Alligator mississippiensis: one gene and its partner. The protein of the gene in region 1 purifies or fractionates together with the protein of each later gene. This does not show direct contact. Links are inferred from orthologs where the notes say so. Each region holds a gene or a part of one and is shown on either strand. Other genes may lie near its edges.

What was found. Proteins that work in one complex are often made in the same cells at the same time.
Region 2: the proteins of TNKS1BP1 (region 1) and CAPZB purify together in Homo sapiens (co-immunoprecipitation; 5 studies listed by BioGRID and IntAct, with this or other methods). This does not show direct contact. The link is inferred for Alligator mississippiensis from reciprocal best matches to the Homo sapiens genes TNKS1BP1 and CAPZB.

The regions. Positions count from the first base shown.
Region 1 is NC_081825.1:172,869,503-172,879,774, reverse strand, and holds the start of TNKS1BP1 (182 kDa tankyrase-1-binding protein), read right to left. Parts: upstream 4,924-10,272; 5' UTR 4,820-4,923; intron 199-4,819; exon of another isoform or gene 37-198; intron 1-36. Other genes in the region: FACT complex subunit SSRP1, read right to left, coding at 7,402-7,470, 7,585-7,765, 8,027-8,118, 8,384-8,554, 9,223-9,346.
Region 2 is NC_081836.1:5,009,470-5,020,005, reverse strand, and holds the start of CAPZB (F-actin-capping protein subunit beta), read left to right. Parts: upstream 1-5,915; 5' UTR 5,916-6,023; coding exon 6,024-6,026; intron 6,027-10,536. UniProt on the Homo sapiens protein: F-actin-capping proteins bind in a Ca(2+)-independent manner to the fast growing ends of actin filaments (barbed end) thereby blocking the exchange of subunits at these ends.

The DNA of each region.
Region 1 (10,272 bases):
CCACCATTGCATGCCTTCCTTCCCCATGTGGCTCACCTTCCCTGCAGCTGCCTCATCTCTGAGCTTGGACAGCACAGCAATGTCAGAGGCCCTGAGCAGGACAGGCACAGAAAAGGAGCGGGAGCTGGAGCAGGGAGGGAGGGAGGGAGCTGGAGCAGGGAGAGAGCTGGTGTCTCGCACAAGCTCCTGTGACTCACGCTGCAGGGACGGGAAAAACCCGCTCGGCTTAGCTTTGCAAGCCCAGCGGGCCTGTGCCTTGTCTGGCCCTGCCCTCTCCTCCCTTCCCCCTCCCCCAACCTTCCTCCCTTTCCACACCCTCTTTTACCCCATTCCCCCTGCCTTCCCCTCCCTCCGCCTTGCTGCACTCCCCGTTCTGCCCCTCCACGCTCCTCCCTTTGCTGCCCCTTCTCCACCACACTGCCTCCTGTTGCCCTGCCCCTCCATCCTCCCCATTCCATGACCCTTCCCCTCCCCGCCTGCCTCACTCCTTTCTTTGCCCGCCCTTCCGTTCTGCCCCCTCCTCCTGCCCCACTCCTCCCTTCCATACCCTTTCCCCCTCCTGTGCTGCCCTTCCCTTCCATGCCCCCTCCCTTCCTCTCTCCTCCTCCCCTGCCCCACTTTCTCCCCCACCAACCCCTTCTCTTGCCTGTCACTCTCTCCCTTGCCTGCCCCTGCAGAGCTATGGGAACGGTCCCCCCCCACCCAGTCTCCAGGGAACTGACATCACGGCTGCACAGTCCAAACCCGGATAAACAGAGCTGGGGAGGGCACATCTGGAAGACATCCCCCCCAATCCCACACTCCCCCCCAGCTCTTCCATTTCCCAATCACTTGGCGCAGTGCTGGAATTCAATGAGGTAAAGCCAGGGCCTGGTCCCGTTGCTGTGGCAACACCCTCCCACTAGATTTCGGGAGAGGGCCAGATCGTGGCCAAGCAGAGAGCGTGTCCTAGCACAGCCAAGACTGGACACCATCTCGGAGTCTCCCCTGACCCCAGGCTCAGCCCACCCCCCTCCTCCTGCACAGCTACTAGGGCATGACCACTCCCAGGCCAGCAAAGTGCCAAGGCAGGGGCCAAGAAAGCAACTGCATAAAGCATGGGGCAGGCTGTAGGGAATTGAGCCATGAGCAGGACCCAATGACCCCCTTCTATCTTACCCCCCCCACCTTGTGCCCTACACCTCCTACCCCACACACTGCCCCAATCACTGTTCCCCCCCTTTCCCCGATGCACACCCCCTATCCCAATATGTAGACACTCCTTCTACACTGCATCCCCTCCCTAGACCCCAATTTGTCCCCCAGTGGTGCTGATACCCCAACTCTCCATCCATACTATGACCCCTCCATAAACCCCAACACAGCCCTGCCTGTAGTGCCAAAAGCCACTGAATATCCAACCACACTGTGCCCCCTCCTGACACTGACTCACCTCAAAACTGCACCAGTATCTGTCCTTCCCTCTGCACTGGGTCCCCTCCCCATAACCCAATTCATCTGTCCCACGGGTGCCAACATCCTTACCTTCCACCCACGCTTCACCCCCCCCCTGCCCCCCCCTCCCCATAATGTCCATATCCCTTCTTGCTCCACAAGTTCAGAACTTATATTCTCAGGCTTTCCTCCAATAACTCCTCCTGCTTTTCCCCACCACTGAGAAAGCATTGGCTGGGCACTGCCCAGTCTCCCTCTTCTGGCATCACCTGGGCTTCTGACTTAGTCACCCCCAGTGACGTGCAAAGCTGTAGTACAATCTCACAGATGAGTGAGTGAGTCTCAGTCATTCTACAGACTATGGACCATCAGACTACTCTGAGCCAGGACCAGGGTCCAAATATGGCCTCTCCTAAAGCCTGCCGAGGGGTGCATTGTCCAATAAAGGCATTCCTGGAAGGAGTCTGTCCTTCCTAAACCTTACCCCCTCTCCACTGGGGGAACCCCACACATGCCCCTGAACTCACCCTGCCAGCCCCCATCAGGAAAGCATGCCCGAGTATTTGTCCCACAGAGCATCTCTCCAGCCATGTCCCCAGGCACTCTCTCTCAGCCAAGTGCTAGATGCAGCCAAGTGCGGCACAGCACCATTCAATTAGAGCACATTCTGTCCCCAGGTGCAGAACCAAGTGGGAAGAGAATTAGGCAAGATGAAAGACCTGCCAGATGGCCCCAGAGATAGCAGAGAGGGAGAGGGGGTCACAATGGGGGGCATCCTGAGAAGGCAGATCAAGGGGGACAAGTGGAGAAGAGCTGATTTATGTTTCCTGGGCTGGGCAGTCCCTGGAAAAGGGGCTCAAGGCAGGAAAGGCTGAGCTGAAGGGAAGCCAGGCAGCATTTTCTACCCAGGTGGGAACATAGAGAGTGGATCCAGACCTCTGAAGAGAGAGGGGAACCAGGAACTCAGAAGAGGGGGAATATAAGGGGCAGGGGCAGAGCACATCTCCTAGCAAAGGGCTCTAGGAAGAGGGGGACAGATCAGGCCAAAAGATACCTTGACAGGAGAGAAGGCCGTGGGCGTAAGAGAGGCTCTTGGTGGGGGACAGTCATCCTTCTCATGAGTTCATTCAGGCCAGGCCCATGCTACAGGTGTTGGCCCAGGGGCATCAAGAGCCATAGTATTAGCCAAAGCCTGTTTTCACTAGCACAGCTGGTTTTGATGGAACAAGGATTGTTACATCAGTACAAAACACCACTTTACTAGGCTGTCCACGTCCACACTAAGAACACAGACAGCACAGCAAAGCCCACTAGCATCCCTGTAGCAGCAGGGTGCTCCTGGTACAGACACAGGCCTGGTCTATGCTGGAAAAAGCTTTGCTGTCAGCAACCTCCTTCCTATCTACAAAAGATCACTTCTGCCAGAAGAGTTTATACCATCCCCAAAGGGATGCAGTCTCCCAAAAGACCAAGCCAGCATGCCTGTGTCTATGCTACAAGGATGTATTTGGTAGCTGTGCTGGTCTGAGACAAAAAGAAATGCAAAACTTTGCAAGTTTATTTTCTACCTATGGGGACTTTTACCATCTTCCCTCAGCTTGAAAAAGGGTACATGTGCCCAAATGCTTGCAAAAAAAGATAATTTTTTTGCAATGTCTTAGTCTTATAAAAGGTATCATCTCTGAACCAAGAGTTCTAGAGTTTTTAATTTCTTTGCGTCTATGCTAGACATTTCAGTTGCCTAGCTGTATTGGTCAGGGACCACAACTCTTCACCTTCTGACCAACAGAGCTATAACCAGCAGCAGACTACAGCACAGGCCTGACTCTACCACATGCCTGTTGCTACCATCAGCGCTCAGGTCACCCTGAGAAGTGGGCATAAGGGAACCAAGGCGAAATGAGAAGAAAGCCCCAGCTATCTCCAGGGTCGAGAGCAGGGGACTCCCAGCAGAGGACGAATAGCGTGTAGCATCAGACCAGGAATATTAGAGCAAGAACCCTCAGATACAATGACTAGGAGCCAAAAGTTCACCTGTAGTAGAAGGGCAAAGGCAAAGAGATGGAGCCTTCTGCTCCTGCCCCAGAAAGGAACAGCTCACTAGCAGCTTGGTGGAAGGTAGTTGGGAGCCACAATCAAAAGGAAACTGAGTGAAACCAGCTCTAGGGACTGAGAGACCGAGTGGGGCAAGCCCAAGCATCAAGGCTTAGTGGTGCCATCACTACAGCAGCAATGCCAACTCTCACAAAACAGTTGTGAGATTCCCGATTTCCAAATCAAATTAACGCTAACTCATGATCTCAGGATATAACCCTCAAATCACAGGACTTTTCTACTGGCGCATAGAGTGCACCCAGCTGGTAAGTTTGTGGAGGGGAAAGGAAGTGGGGGCAGATCGAGGCCCCTATGGTGAGGGAGGGAGTGGGGTAGGAGCTGGGGTTAATGGGGCGCACTGGCCGCGCAGCATGTCCCCTGACAACAGGAAACATACTGGCACTGTGTGGCTGAGCTCCTGGGGCAAAGGCACCAAGGCACAGAGCTCTGAGCCTGCAGCCTCTCTCTGCCTCGTGGGGGGCACATGAACTCCATGCCTCCCCGGGGGTGTGCACAGCTGTGGGTAGCTGCCCCCCACCCCTGGATGACCTGCCCTGGCTCTGGGGCCACATTTATCCCAGCCCCTGCCTCACTCCTTCTCTCACTACAGGGGCCAGATCAAAGCCCCTTCCCCTCCACTTACCAGCTGGGTGCTGTCCCTCTGTGTGTCCGTGTGTGTGTGTGTCTGTGTCCGTGTGTGTGTCCCTCACTCCCAAGCCACAGCCCCCCCAGCCTTGCTGCTGCCCCTCACTCCTGACCCACAGTACCCCACATCCTGCTAGTACAGGCAGGGCCCCCCACCCTCATCCCCCAGCTCCTTCGTAAACAACCCCTGACACACGCACACACTTCAAAAATAGCATCGCATGATTTACATGCCAATCTCTTGATTTTTTTTTTAAGTGTTTGTCTCATGACTTGGCATGGTGGGGTTGCAACGCAGCTACAAGGAGCCAAGCCCCGGAGGCAGGAACAGGAACATTCCTCCGCCTCCCCAGCCCCAGAAAACCTGGCAAGGGGCGCGCTGTGTGCACTGCACCGCACCGCACCGCAGCGCCCTCCCGCCCGCCTTGGCACCAGCCTGTGCCCCAAGGGCCCAGGGGCGCGCGGATCACACCCGGGGCGGCCCCGCCCCGGCCCGGGCCTGGGGCCCGCACCCGCCTGCGCGCGCAGCCGCACGCGTAGGCCCCCCCCCGCGCCGCCCCCGGCCTCAGCCCCGCGGCACCCCGCCGCCCCGGCCAGCCGGCCGGGCGGGCGGGCACGCACGGGGTCCCGCACCCCCGCCGCTCACCCGCTAAGCTCCGCGCCGCACCGCCCGCGTCCTCCACCCTGCATATTCATGAGCCCCGCCCGCCCCTGCTGCATATGCATGAGGCGCGCGGCTGCCGCCCGTAGCCCCGCCCCGCTCACGTGTCGCCAACATGTCATGGCGGGCCGGCTGCGCAAGCCGCGGGAGGGGGGCGGGGCTCCGCTGTGCCATTGAGGGCGGCTAGAGCGGCCCCGCGGCTGCCCCAGGTCCAGGCGCCTGCAGCCCCCCCCGGCGGGGGGCTCCGACCATGCAGGAGCTAGGGCTGTAGCTCCGTCGTGCCCAGGGGCGCTCCTCGCGTGTCGCCCCCCCGCGCCCAGGGCCCGTCCCGCACAGCTTGAGCAGCTAAACCTGGTGCGGCACGCTTTAACCAGTGCGTTAGGAATTTTAAACCCAAAATTTACACCCCGGCTTCTCAACCCCTGCCTGGGAGACAGCCTCCCTTCAACTTACTTAGGGATGACCCTACCTCGAGGGCAGGACGGGACTAGATGGCCCTTGCAGCCCGCCTTCCCTGGGGCCCCCTCTGGAGGGCAAGCAGGATCGTGGTGCTGGAGCTCTAAAGCTAGTTCAGGTGAAGCCCCTCCACTCTTGCACCCCTCCACACAATCACCCCCGCCGTCCACAGCTCTCCCTGTCCTGCTCCCCAAAGCCTGCCCGAGCTGCAGCGACAAACAACGGAAGCTGGGGCAAGCACTTCTCAGTACACTGGATGCAAAACCTTCTCTTCAACATGCCCCCTCTCCCAACAGCCACCCACTATCACACCAGTGTTGAGCAGCCCTCCCCACAACTTCTGTATGTTACCCAACACCACCCTGTACTCCTTCCTTCTGCACCCAGAAAGGAGGCAGCACCCCCTGCAAAGTGAGGGAGAGCCCCCAGTGCTTTATCTGGCTCACAGGACCAGTATAAAGACAGGTGCATGCTGCCTGGATGGAGGAGTTGCTTTAGCTGCCATTAGCGCATCTCCTTCCCAATTAACTGCTGGCAACTGGGAGGTTCCAGTAAATAACCTCCAGAAAACTAAGCTGATGGAAATGGGAGCCTAGGGAATTTCATAAGCAGGGCATCCTCCATCTGCACAAATATTAACCTCCGGCTGGCTGGCTCGGAAGGGCCCCAGGCTGCCTAGCACATTCCACCTCCCCTCCCCCTCACCAGGCACAGCTCTCTTCCCCCTCTCCAAGAGCTCCAAAGACAGTTCTCAGCAAGACAGCTCAGCACTGATTCAATTAAAGAAGACAGAGAAGCAGCTCTGCGTCACAGGTGATGGGAAATGGAGCCGGAAGGTCTCCTGTAGCTCCTCTAATGGAGTACTGAGGTCCGGTAATAGGCACTAATCTGATCAGGACGCATTCCCCAGGTCAGATTAGCACGCCTTGGCAGGAACGTAGTGGGGAGAGAGCTGTAATGGAAGTAGACCCATCCATCTGCTGATCCACTTTACAGAGCTTCTCCCCCTCCTCTCCTGGCTGTTACTGATTAAGAGGATAAGAGCTACAGGCCCAAAGGTGGAGTAGAAAATGACACTAAATCGCCGGGAGATGGGGAAGGGCAGAAATGGCAAGATGTAGCCTCCTCCTTATGCCTCCTGCATGGTAGGGCAGAGCTGAGCTCCTGATTCCACCTGTCTGCAGCAGGGGTGGCTGATTTAAGTCCTCCTTGAAAGTGGCAGTGGTACCAGATGGTAGTCTGCCCCTCCCTCCTGGGAGTTAGGGCAGAGCCCCCAAGCTCATCTTAAGACTGCTCTCTATTGACTGCCTGCCTCCATTAGGCTGCTCTGAAAAGGCTAGATGGCCCTTTAACACAATTAGGGCTGCTGCAGCCACCTGCAGGGGCCAGCAGTCTTAATGGAAGGCAGTAAGATAAGGCTCTGGCCCCAACTCAGCATTGTGGGGAGTGTCACACACGCACCGAAGTGCCAGAGATATGCACCTGGCACAAGCAAACCTGGCAGGTCCCCTATGGGTGAGGGTGTAGATCTCTCTTGGGCAGACACAGCTCTTTGTCTGTGTCCCCACTCATTCCATCCCTCTTTGTTTACCCACAAAGAAGCTCTGTCCAAAGACACTTGATTTTTAATTCAACCCATGTGGCAGCCCAGAAATACAAAAAAAAGAAACAAATCGGAACATAAAAACACTGATAGGGCAAGAAAGCGAGGGGCCTAGGAGCCCTTGCAGCCACCTCCCCAACACTCCCCCACCACACTCTTCACAGCCTATCACACAAAGGACCCCCCAAGTAACCTTCAGTGACATGCAAAGAAAGGAAGTGTGTGCTTCCTAAACCCTCACCAGCAGGAGCTGTGAAGGATGGTAGAGCTCAGGGAGCAGGACACAGCAGGAGGTGGCTGGGGCCAGGGCAGAGGCATCAGGGAAGGAGCAGAGCCAAGGTCTGGTTCTAGCCAATGGTGTAGACCTCAGTATGACACCCACCCCTCCAGTCCTCCCAGTTGGATGACGGGAAACCTGGGTGCAGAGGACTGGGCCTTGCCCTGCTGACCTAAGAAGAGTGCCATTGGCTCAAGGGGCAGGGCTGAAGGGAGGGCAGGGGTAGGTTCTCTAATCTGAGCCAGATGCTGAGTCCTCTGAGCTGGGGGGTGTGCTGGCAATCTCCTCCTCCTCCGAGTCCTGGGGGAATGCATGAAAAGAGAGAGTCAGCCGGTGACACATGCAAGAGCCATGGGTACAGCAGCCAGCTGGAGGATGGGGCCCCCCACCCATGGAAGGCAGTGCTGCACCTACCTCCTTCTTGCTCTCGCCTGAGGAGCTTTCATCACTGGAGACAAACTCCTTGCTCTTGAAGCTTTCAGTGGTGGGCTTGACTGGGGACTTCGAAGATGGAGACTTGGAAGACACCCCCTTCTTCTCCACTTTCCCCTTCACCTGTTTCTCCTGCTTCTTCTTCTTCTTTTTTGACTTCTCCCTAAATACAAGAGAGCCACCGGGCACAGAGGTTACCCACAGCCACCACCTGGGTCCCTGCCTCTGGGATGGTAGAGCCATGGGGGACTTGCTCACCCCACCCTGGGGAAGTGCCCAGGCTCCACCATAATGGGAGGGAACAGAAGTCATTCACCACAATCTCGCTCACCTTCCCCGGGCAGAATGGGTCCTCCAAAAGGAGACATGACTCCTTATCACTCCCACCCTCCCCCCTGGGTTCCCCAAAGGCTGGTGCACTCACGTCCTGGAGCTCTCTGATTTGCCCCCAACACTGTATTCTTTCATGGCCTTCTCATAGTCTCTCTTGGCATCTTCTGCCTTGCGTTCCCACACCTGTTGGAAGTGCAAAGCGTCAGTCACAAACCCACAACAGCAATTCCACCCCTGCCCCCCACCCAACATGCTGCTACTCCTGCACCATACACCATCCCACCCCCAACTGGCAATCTCACAACTCAGCAAGCCACCCAACCATCCTAAGGGCCAGAGGATGGCATCCCCCAAGCACAGACCTACCAACACCATCCTGGCAGCCCCGTCACACCCACACTACCCTAACAATTCAAACATGCTACCACAGCTCCTCCCAGTCCTTTACCTCTTTCTTCTCCCTGGACATGGCCTTCCAGAGCTCCCCAGCCTTCTTGGACAAGTCAGTGATGCTGATGCCAGGGTGGTCTGATTTTATCTTCTCACGACTAGCATTTAGCCAGAGCATGTAGGCAGACATTGGCCGCTTAGGGGCATCGGGGTCCTTGCTTTTCTTACCCTGGGACAGTGGAAGGGGGCAGCAAGGGAGGGAGAAGGGGAAAGAGAGAGAAGCAGCATGAGATCCCCTTAGAGCTCATGGGCTCAGAGGACCTCCTCATAGCAAGGGCTGAGGTCATTCCCCACTCAAGCCCCATTAACAGCATGGCTAGAGTGGGACACCCCCTCCCACAGCCAGGACATCCACTGGGCCCCAGCAACACAAGCCCTTTGGAGGGGAATTATTCCTGATGGAGCTCTACCTGGACAGAAAATTGCTATTAGGGCTCAGATGATACACTGAGCTGACAGAACTGGACTGGCAGGGGTGGAGGGAGGCTACAGAGCTATCCTGGGCTTGGCAAGTGGGCCACAAGCAGAGTCTAAGTCAAAGTCACCCCCTCTACAGACTGGTCACTGCCTTGTGGGAAGTCAGGTCAGGGGGAGCAGGAGTGTCAGACCAGCTTCCCAGAGCTCAGGGTACTCACTGGCCACGTCAGTAGCATGAAGACCTGGGTCTTCACGTGCCAACAGAGGATCCCTGCAGGGCAGGAGCAAGGCAAGCTAGTGAGGAGTGAAGCTGACACTCATCCTCCCAGGACAGAGGATGTTGCTTGGTTGTAGAAAGCACTGGGGACCACTGCATCCAACCCCATCTCGTTTCTCCCCTTGCCTGGGCACAGCCCTCACCTCCAACTGTTTCTTGCGAGGTTTGCGCTCCCTGACAATCTTGGCCTTCTTGGCTGGTTTCTTCTCGTCACGGTCACTGTCACCATCACCACTAGAGGAGCTGGCTGAGGGATGGCTGTTGAATCTGCAGGAGGAAGCATCAGCTGGGAATCAGCCCCATGCCCAGAAGAGTTACTGGGGGCAGGGATCGCAAACTCCAAGAAGGTGCTTTAGCGAGGACAAAAATGAAGGTTATCTGGGGGCATGACATAAAGAGGCCACCTCTGAGACCTTAGCTATAGGGGTAGATGCATTTTACACAGAAGCCAGCCCTTACCCAGAGAGAAGCCAGGGCCTAGCCTGTCCCTGGGAACAAGCTGTAATGTCTTGTTCTGGTTCTGCAATTCTCCAATAGGGCCCTGTACCCTCCCCTCATCTTTCCCCCTTGAGGGACTCCCAAGTGAGTGGTGACCTCAAAGAGCAAGCCCCTTGGCCTGTTTTCCTGCTCTCTCAGGAATCCCTCTGGCCAAGGTACAATCTAAGAACATCAGCTCTCATCAAAAGACCATTCTGAAGCACAGAGCCTGACCAAAGACAAGAGGAAAGACCAAACCTCATACCTCATCGCAGTGCCTGGGATGGGCACAGAACATCAGAGCCCTTGTCCCAGGGTGTTAGGCACCTTCCCCCAAAGAACTTATAGGTAGCTAGCTCAAGAACTTTAGATGCAGACAGAACCTGCTACAGAAATGCAGCCAGATCAGAGGGGAAAGATAGTAGCTGCTTCCTTGCTTGTGGCAGTGCTACAATGGGGGCAGAAAGTGAAGAATCCAACTGGAGCCTCACTAGTTAGCCAAGCCACATTGCTCAGGTGCTGCTTTGCTTAATATTCCCCGCAACTCCTGTGAAAAGCCCCAGCAGAGGGGCAAGCAGGTCAGTCTCACATCTCCTAGAGAAGATGGCACTGACAGCATCCCCTGTCAAGATTCCCTCCTACCACTAAGCCAGGGATCTAGAACTGGTGGGCACTGTGAGGGGTAGGCACCTATGCCAAGCCATAGCACCCTCAAC
Region 2 (10,536 bases), on another chromosome or scaffold:
TTCCACAAGCTTAAAATAAAATTATAAAAAGATAGTTGGGTACTTTGACTTCAAAAACACAGTTGTTTTTTCTTTTTGCCTTTATATATGGAGAAAACATTGCATTTAAAAAACAAGCACTTTTTCCCTCTAAAATCTCAGATCCAATAAACTCTCCAATTGAGTTTCTTTGGTTCTTGCTAAACACTGGAATAAAAAGCATAGGAAGCATTTTGTTGTATATTCAACATATGCAGGAAGATGAAATGAAAAGCACATCGTGTCAGACCACAAATGTTTTGCAAAGTTCTGGCTTGAAGTGAAAAGTACTTTGTTATGCTAATAAAAAAAAAGTATTTATCCTTTTGCTTCCTTAAATATAATCAAGTATACAGGGAAACCACATGTATTTTATAGACACTGATTGCAGGATCAAAAGCCCTCTTATTAATTGCACATGAATCTGATGTTGTTGAGCTGTTAAGCTGTCAACTGAAATCACTGTTTGCTCCTTTGTTTATATTCCCCTCATTTTTAAGACACATAATGTCTGACACTAAGCCCATCAGAGCACATTCTGTTTCTCTTATGGTGGATGTTCCCATGTGTGGGAAATGCTTGCAGTTGACTGAATCCAGACCCAGTGAAACCAAGCAAGGTGCTGTTTCTGGAGGTGATAAAGCAACTAACCCACCATTGTTCTGTTCTCTCCGTCTAGTGCACAGAGCCACCAGTGCAATCTAGTGGCAAAATCAAAATCAGAAGCGTATTTTATTCTGGTATTTGTAATCCGTGCCCAGCAGCATTGACAAATCCTTTTGCCACTGGATGGTAAGGAATTTTCACGATCAGCTTCTTATCTAATTAAATGTAAAGAGATGAATAACTTCTCATCGGTAGATCTCAAAATGCTTTACAGAGGGAGCTGTCATCCTCATTTTATGGACAGGGAAGCTGAATTACAGAGGGGCCAAGTTATTTGTCCAAGGACAGACATGGAGCAAAGAGCACAGTGGGGAGCAGAATCTATGTCTGCTCTGAGCCCGTTGCCTCCAGCTGAAATCCTGCTGGGCAACCTCTGTCCCCTGGTGGAATCCAGCATCTAGAGAGCACAATGTGAGTGTAACCTCCTGCCGTTCTTTATTTAGTAGCACTTTGTACTCACTTTGCACAGATGGAATAACTATACAGAGTGCAGAACAGCCCAGAACCTGGTCCCTATCTATAAGCTCTCTGTGCTCTCACAAACTCCCGCTGCTAATAGTGTTTATCCATATTGCCTTCTGTCTCCTTCATTTCCTCATCCTGCCTTCTGGTTGCCAGAGAGACTGCCTCTTCAACTGCCGGTTGCGAGGCATCCTTTGCAGGCGACCCTACCCTGAAGTTTCTTCTCCTGGGTAATGTTTAATCCTGGATTTCATCCTGTGCTTTCCTTTGTTTTCTTCAGGTTTCACTCTTTGGTACAGCACCGTGTCAGTCCCAGGAATTTCCTTGACCAGAGACTCAGAGGATTTCCAGTTTCCTCTTCTCTCTGCTCCAGCTGCGTCTCTGTGACCTTTATATTCATGTAGCTACTACAAGAGAACTGCATAAACTCATCTCAGTCTGCTTTCAAGAACAGCAGCAAATCACTTCCGTTGAGAGAAAGCCAGTCATTGGCAAAGGTGATGCTACTGTTATTCCTCATATTGTGCCTTTAATCTGTGCCCTTTAAAAACCGTTATATGTTGATTTATTAATATTATTGGTTCCACAAAATCATAAATCCCTGTGGTATTTTATAGGCAATTTGAAAAACAATATAGGGACAACAGGATGCACAAGGGTTGCTTCTTCAGCCATGAAGTGCAACCAGCTCTAGGGAGGAACACAACTGTTTAATATTGTTGCAAAGTAGTTTCTGTGCAACGTGGAATGGAAGGCAAAAATCCTGTATCCAACTGCAAACTACAAAGGGAACTTAAGCCAAGAGCATGCCACTGCTCAGTTTTGTATTATTACCCCAGCACCTTGCAGTTAACATCATATATATTCTTGGAAATTAATACTGTGCGCTTTTTAAGGGTACCAAATTAGAAAGCCTTTTTAAATCTCTCATACTAAAGGCAATACCTTTAGATAGTATACCACTTGGAACAGTTCAGTAACAACGATGTCACTTCCTCTTGCTCTGTTTTGGCATTTCTTGGAAGCCTCCCGTTCACGAATAGCCCTAGTCCAACTTCGGTTAGCTGACAATCGCAGAAAATCACAGCAGAAGGTGGGATGGCTGCAACCACAGTTACATGCACAGACTCGCCCCTTATTCAGACATCACCCACACTGCGATTACAGCCCACCAGAAAGAGTCTGGTCCCACATTTTGATAAACAAACAAAAAAAAAAAAAGGTCTCTTAAGCATGTCCTGCCATAAACAAACAGAGCAAGCAGCTGGTCCTCATTTGAAGAGATGTTCCATCAATCTGAGCAGGAATTTGCAGATCATCTTAATGCAAATATTTTTGGGAAAACAGAAAGCAGCTGTTTATTCGTCTTTATACCTATTAGCAGGAAAACAGAATCCAGGATGCTTGTATTTCTGCCACTAAGGAAAACATCCTCTTGGCCTCAACATTCGTTTGGATTTTGGAAATTGTTTAAAATACACCCGGCTGCAGTTTCTCTCTCTCTTGCTGTATGTTCCTTTGCTGACCACAGAGGCGCAATAAGAGCCTGAGAGCAGAGAGAAGCTGTACAGCAGATCTGCTAAATTAAAAGCCTAATAATCTTTGCCTACCTCATATGAGTGTTTTGAGGCAAGAATGAGGAGGTCAAATTATTATGCAAAGTGACATAGCGCTACTGGCTTCAGTGCAGCTCTGCTGATTTACACCGGTATAGACTGTGGCTCAGGGAATCCAGTGCTGTCATTTTCAAAATGGAAATCTGTAGCTGTTTAGTGCATACTGTTTGTTAAATTCACTAAAAATGGGCACTGGCAGAGCTGCGTCCTTTTGGTAAAGTTCTAAATGGGAGCTAATATTTAATAGCATTTAGATTCAAGTCATGAACAACTGTGATAACATATTAGGGTAAAATCAGAGCTACCCCCTGGTCATTTCCTGCCAGAAGGACATATGCACATAATATTACATGGAAAAATAGAAGCCATTCATCCGAAAATACACAGTTTCTGTTACAATCTTCGTGCAAGTGTTGCCCACACCATTATCAGAGACGCTCATGCCAGCTCCCACGACATTACATCAGACAAGGAAGCATTTTGTGACTCCTCTTGTCAGGATTTCCAGTTTCCATAGAGCATGCTTCCAGGCTAAGAAAAATAAAGGAACAACAAGAGGGTTTTTGGCTCATGTTAGGGACAAGCCTGCAATTCAGATGCCAAAAAGCACCAGCAGAGGGTCCTCACAAACCTGGCACTCAAGCCCTTTTGAAACATGGGCCAAACAATTGTTCCAAGAGAACTATAGAGGAAAATGTTGCCCCATAATGGAGTGGATTCTCCCCTGGGGGTAACTCTACGGACTTTAGTTGAGTTACATCTGGGCATAAAGTCAAAACCATGTGTCAGCAGTGATTCACAAATACCAGCACACAGAGGCCAGATTCAGGATCAGTTTTGGCTCAAATAACAGGATTTAATAAATCACCTGAAACAGTTAATTAATTGTTATTTTGCTGGAAGCAGGGTGGAGTGGAGTGGTGATGTACTTTACTCACACAGACCTTGAGACTTCCTGATTTTCATCTTCTTGCATTTGGGTCCCCATATTACAAGCACTGTAATGCACCAAAGACCCGCCTAACTTTAATCAGGTACTTGCATGCTTTGCTGAATTAAGGCTTCTATTTCTTCATAAGAATGATGGGTTGCCTATGGAATGAATTAATGTTCCCTCTACGTAGCTAGGAGCTATAACTTGTGCTCCAGAATCTAAGCATAATTAATATATATTATAGGCAGCACAGACAGTGACATTTATTCTTCAAATTACCCAACACTTCCTATTGTAAGATCCAGTTCCCATCACTTTGCCAAAATGCTAGTGGCTTGCACTGGAATTTTCTATGCTAGGTGTTTGCGTCAGGCTGATTTTTTTTGGAAAGGTTTTGTTAAATACTTTCAGATATTCCCCAGAATGAGATTAAACGGACCTCTTGTGCTCTGCTCATGTAAAAATCATTCATACAATTGTTTAATTGAGAAGCTGTAGTACCTTAATGCTTTGAAGCAGAGGCTTACAGTTTAGCACGTGGTGTGGTCATCAGGTGTCAGGGATATGCCTCTTGATGTTCCTGGGGTGAAAAAAGAAAACACATGAATTTTTATCCGAGTTATAAACTTTGAAAAAAAAAAAGCTCAGCTCACACCTTTTCGGGAAAGGTTTGCTAGAGTCTGGCAGCTAAATTCCATGAATGTTTCATCTGCTCTGAAAAAGTTTTATTTTGTTTTAGCTCCTACATGCCTATGAAGCTGAGCATACTACATCCCGGCGATTTACGGATTAAGCAGGACTTTCCCTAAAATTGAATCTTTAAAAACTGCTTTAGAGCCAGATACCAGGTCTGAGGCTAAAGACATGGTCTTTCCCGTGCTCTCACCTTCCCCCCCTTGGCACCCAGGCTAACTTAGAAGAAAGCTTTCTGAGGGAGGCAGGGTGACTGGAATTGGCTGGACAAAGAGCATCGGGGGGAATTGGGGAATCAGAATGCAGGATTTAGGATAAGGAGTCAGCAGTGGTGAAATGTGACTGGGACAGTGGAGTGGGGGAAGACTGGGACTGGGACAGTGGAATGGGAAACTAGAACAGACTAGACAAAGAGACATACTGAAACGGGAAGGCAAAGATGGTAGAAACTGGAACTGGCTAGGAGTAAAGAGAACGAGTCAGAGCTCAGTGGGTGGAGGAAGGAGGGACAGTACGAGACAGAACAGGGACGGGCGGGAGGGGCAGGATTCAGGGTACCAGGAGCAGGCCGACCTGTTCTTCCCTCCAGACTAGAGCCCGGATGAACCCAAGACGTGGGAGTCTCCCCACCCCCCCGCCTGCTATCAGCACCTCACCGAGAACCACTAGCAGGGCGTGCGCCTCATCCCCCTTCCCACTGCCTCCCAGGAGGGCGACAGCCTCCTACTACCATTACTTCCTGCTTTGTCCTCAGTGGCAGAAGCCAGAGCTTCCCAGTGGCGGAGGCTGGGGTCACAGCGGGTGCAGGCTGGGGGGGTTCCACTTTCCCAACTTGATTTTATTTTTTAATTAAAAACCTAACTGACCTCTCCCCCTTCCCCGCTTTTCACCCTTGCTGCCCCAAAGCACTACCCAGTGCGCACAATCCCTGTACAACAGGCTGCTAGAGTCTGCAGAGAGCCTGAGCCCCTTGCTGCACCAGGACCAACCACCCTGAACCTAGGGCGTGTAACGTTGCAGTGTCCCTCCCTATTGGCCTCTCCCGTCTCCCCCTGTTCTCTTCCCTATTGGTCTCTCCCGGTCCCCCGCCAGTCCCCTCCCTATTGGTCTCTCCCGTCCCCCCGTTCCCCTCCCTATTGGTTTCTCCCGGGCTTCCCTGTTCCCCTCCCTGATTGGGCGCTCTGTTCTTCCCCCCCTCCTTGGAGTTGGTTGCTTCCCCCTGTCCTTTTCCCCTTCTTCCTCAGCCCCTTGGTGTCTCCTCTCCCTGATTTAATTTCCTTTCACCCATTTAATGACTCAGGTTGTTCTTTCAGTTGGGCTCATCCCTCCATTCAACCCTGCTTCTTTCTATCTCCACCCCCCTCCAGAGAAGAGAATGGTCTCTCCCAGCGCCCCGCTCCTTCCCCTCCCCTCCAGAACGCGGGCCGCTCTCCATACTTGGCGATGGCCGGCAGCCCGCGCTCTGATTGGCCCGGGTGGCGGCGAGGGGCGGGGCCGGGGCCGGGGCCGGGCGGCTGTGACCCGGATGTTCACTCCTAGGCAACGGCGGAAGTGGAAGGGCCGCGGCCTGGCTCAGACGCAGACCGGACGGCCCCGGGAGTCGCCAGCGCCCAGCCCCGCCCCGCGGAGACATCATGGTAAGGGGGGGCCTGGCAGGGCCGGAGCCGCGCTCCCGGGGTCCCTCCTGGCGGGGGCTGCGGGGAGAGGTGCCTGCAGGGCCGGCCTGAGCCGCGGGGCTGGGCACGGCCGGGCTCCGGCTGCTCGCAGGGAGGCAGGTGTTGAGGGCAGGCCGAGGGGAGGGCGGGCGGAGCTTACTTGCAAAGCACAACTTCTCGGAGAGACTTCAGGGGTTGAGGAAAAAACCCCAGAACAACCAACCAAACCCCCAAGGTGTTTCTTCATCTTGGCCTCAGCGACCTGGACGCGAGTCTCCGGAGCGTCCCATCCTCTGCGTTGTGTTTCATTGCGCTGTCACCGAAAAGCAAACGCCGGCCCGTGACCGAAAACCGTAGCAAAGGAGGGCTGGAAGGGGCCCGCCGCCGAGGTCGCGCCTAGTCCGACCCCTGCCGCTTAAGCGCCTGGTTGTCCTACGTAGGTGCCGTGTGCGGCGGAGAAGGGCTGCCAGCGTCGCGTCCGCGATCGATTTGCGAACGCCGAATGGTGGCTTTGGGTTGACGCGTGTCGGTGACGCGCATTCATGATGGGGCTGGTCTAGTGTGTTTTGGATTTGGTAGATGTGCGTAGGACGAGCTGAATCTGTGGCGTGGACGTAAGTCGAGGGCGCTGTTACCTCCGCAGCCTGTTGCACGTCTGATGTTGAACCTGTCGTGGGAACGATGGGAGCAGGCTCGGGCGAGGACGTCTGAGGGGTGTTTTGTGAATGGAATCGTGCATTTCCTCGATCTTTGAAAGCTGTTTCAAAGACTCTTAAAATAAACGGGTAGTAATTTGACTGTTGCTTAAGATAGCAATGAGCACAAGAGTAGGAATGGTAATTGACCAAGGGTCTTACGCTACACTCGTCGGTCTGTACAGGTCCATCTGTCTGTGCAGAGTCTGCTTAAGGCAGGGGTGGGCAAAATACGGCCCGTGGGTTGGATGCGGCCTGCCAGGCCATTCCATCTGGCCCGCGGGGCCCCTAAAAAATTTATAAAATTAATATATATTGGCCCCTGGCTGCCTGTCACGCGGCCCTAGATGGCTCGTCAAAACTCAGTAAGCGGCCCTCCACACGAAATAATTGCCCGCCCCTGACGTAAGGCAACCTGACACCGTTCCTTGCGTGAAGCTCCCTGTATCCACAAACTTCTAGGATTCGAAAGTGGTGCTGTTATAGTGTAATTCTTCCAGTTGAATGTGTAAAGGCCACGACTAGAAGATCTGTCGATCGCTAGATCTATCGATCGCTGTCGTAAAACGCTGTAAAACGATATTGCCTGTTTTGAGATCTTTTCTATGCAGTGAGCATCTGAGTCCTTGTCACACTGACAGGTTCAAGAAGTTTGAGGCAGTTATTTCATTTTTCCCTCAAAACAGCGGGTAATGAGGAGCTTGCACTTGTTTTACACACAATGATATTGAATATATTGTCATCACAAGGCCTAGAGGCCTTAACCAAGATGGAGACTCTTTTGTTACCAAATACTGTACAAGCACATAATGGGAGTCAGTGTCTCCAGCTTAAACAAGGGGCAGGGGAAATAAACAGAGACATTATTTCAATTTGTGCATAAAATAGGTCTTTTCAGAGCACTAGGTTCAGGGTCTCATTCACATACTTGGAGTTAAACATTTGGAATATCAATGGAATCATAGAAAGATGGGGATGGAAAGGCCCTCGAGATCATCTAATCCAAGCCTCTGTTCAAGGCTGGGTTATTCCTTTCTAAACGATCACAGTCAGATGTTTGTCTAGCCTTCATTTAGGAGATTCTAGTGACAGGTTCTGCAACTGTTGGGTAATTTGTTCCAGCACTGAATAGGTAGAAGTTTTTTAATATCTAACCTATATCTTGTTGCAGTTACAGGTGTCATCCTCACTTCTGTCATGGTCCAGGCCCACAGCAAAAACTCATGAGAATGAGTAGGTTTTGTTGAGTACCGTAAATATTAAAGCTTATCTTTCTCCGGGGGGTGAGAGAACATTTTCTCAGTAGAATTTTTGCCTCTTAAAAGAAGAGTCCAGCTTGAATACCTCTGCACATTATAACTGGGAGTATTGCATTTGGGGAAAGGCATGTCTCCAGCCACTTTGAATTTGATTGATGCCTTCAGTTATACCCCAAAAAGCAATGGTCAGCCATGCTAAATATTTAATAACAGTGGAGATCACCAGGCACGTGTCCTTCATGCTTGGGACAAGAGAACCTTTTCAAAATTCTGTACTAGTCCCTGCTTTTTGAGAGGACTTGAAACATGAACACATTTGCAGCCGTGTTGTTGCGTGATGCATCATTTTGGCTGACTCGGTACATTTTGGATCAGCTGGATTTAGTAGATGTGCATAGGATAAGACGGATCTGTTCCTAAGTGCCATTTTAAGTTCAGTGAGAGATACTAGTTTTAAATCTAAACACATTCCTCTCCCTCCCCCTTGTGCTCTGCCCCAGGTCCCTCTTGGAAAAGATCACAGAACACTTGTTCTAGCTGCTCTGGAAAGTTGAAAGTCCCAGTTGATCCTGCTGGGTTTAGACTCATAGTTCTTGGGGTGCCTAGCCATTTCGGATGCCATAGTCCAGCCAGCTGTTGGATGACCAGTATCAAACATGGTGCTTAGACCTGCCTCGTCTCTCTTGGTTTTAAAAATAGTGTTTTGCCCTGAGGGATGCCATAAGTATACTTCAGGGTGTGTAGAGTTAGGGAGTATTCCAGCTGTGTATGTCCTCCAGTGGGTACAACCCAGTCATTGCTTCTATAATGAAAAGCTTCCTTTTCAGACTGTGTAAACTAGGGAGTATATGCAAGGTGCTCGATAAACTGTCCTGGTAGTACTCGCAAACATCTCGTTTTTCTTGTGTGTGCAAAGAGTAAACAAAATCTGAGCAAGATGTTAACATCAAACAAAGGTAAAATTGTATAGTGGGTGGCAGCTCCATTTAATTTGTTACGGCTTTTGGTCATTTGCAAAAAAAATTGTTAGAATGTGTTGCAGCAGCTAAGAAGCACTGAAGCACAGCTGTGATGCTTGGAATGATGCTGATACCACGAGATATAGTTTTGGTGTGCCGTTCTGAGTACTTACTTTTTTTGGGGAAGGGGCTATTTGTCTTATTGCAAGCACACTTGACAAATAACTGTACAGAACAGTGTTTGGATGGTTTAGTTTCTTTTTAACTACTTAAAGCATTTTTTTTTTTTCAAAGCATCTGAAAACTGAGCCCTTCTTTTAGGGGAGTTAAACCAATCTTGCAAACACAACCTGTAGTGTTAAAGCCAGTAATCTGGTTTGTACATCTTCTGTGCTCCTGAGCTAGTTTTTTGCACCGCATGCTTTGGGAACACTGACTGAAGGGATCTTGTGCAGTTCATATTGCATTAGGCAAGTTTAGATATGTAAACTAACTACACATTATCTTAATTTTTTTGGAAATTTGCCTTTTAAATTAGTCTGAGACTGTCCTTTGGGATATCCATTTTCCGGTGATAAAAGCTAAGGTGAATTCATAGCGATATTGTCATAATTCCACATGACATTTCTTACTCTCTTCTAATTTACTAATCTGTGGCAATCTTTCTCCAATACATTAGAATAATTCAAGCATGACTCTGCTATTTGTAATAGAAATCTGTTATCAGTGTGCTTCTCAGTTTCCAGAAGGAAAACAAAATAAAAACACACTGTAAGTATATTGGATTTTATGTCTATTTTTAGCAGATAGTACAGTACTTGCACAGAGGAATGACTCCTTTTGGGAGAGAAGTATTGCTGCCCTATTAAGTTTCTTCTTGTACTGTTGTCAGCTATGCTTTCTGCCCATTTGCTTTGCTCTGTAAAGGACAGCTGATTAATTCTTTACCCTTACACTTCAGGGATGAGCAGACAACACTCCTGTGGGGGCAGCTGAACATGTTACAAGGATTGACTGTGCAGCATAGCAGTCCAGATCAGGTCTGGCTGAATAGAGAGCCTTCATGAGCAAGCATCTAAACACTGGGGTCCGGGCCCCCACTCTAGTCTCTGCTCCATGCACGTGTGAACCGAAAAACCAAAACAGTTTCTTATTCACTCATTAACTAAATTCCCAGAGAATAGGCTTTTTCTACTATGATTGTGTATTGTGGTTGTGTTACTCAAATTGATTGGAAACTATTAGAATGGGTTTTGTTGGGTCTTAGATCACTTGCTGGAGTTCTGGCATTTTTACTGGACATCTCTCACCTTGCAGTATTTTTTGCAAGTGCTACTTTTGGAATGCTCACGCAAGCAAGCTGTTTAAATTATGAAGTGTCTGTATTGACTTTGTGAAAGCTGAGTTTCGGCCTCTGTTCTAAGTCCTGGATTTTACCCCTACTGGCCCTATGGCAAATTGGCTTGCTTAAAATAATAATTAAAACCCCCTCCTTAATCCTCTTCACTTCTCCCTTAAAGTGCTGCATGGGCAATTGAATCAAAACTGTTTGTGGGTGCATGGCTTCATGATTTCTTGC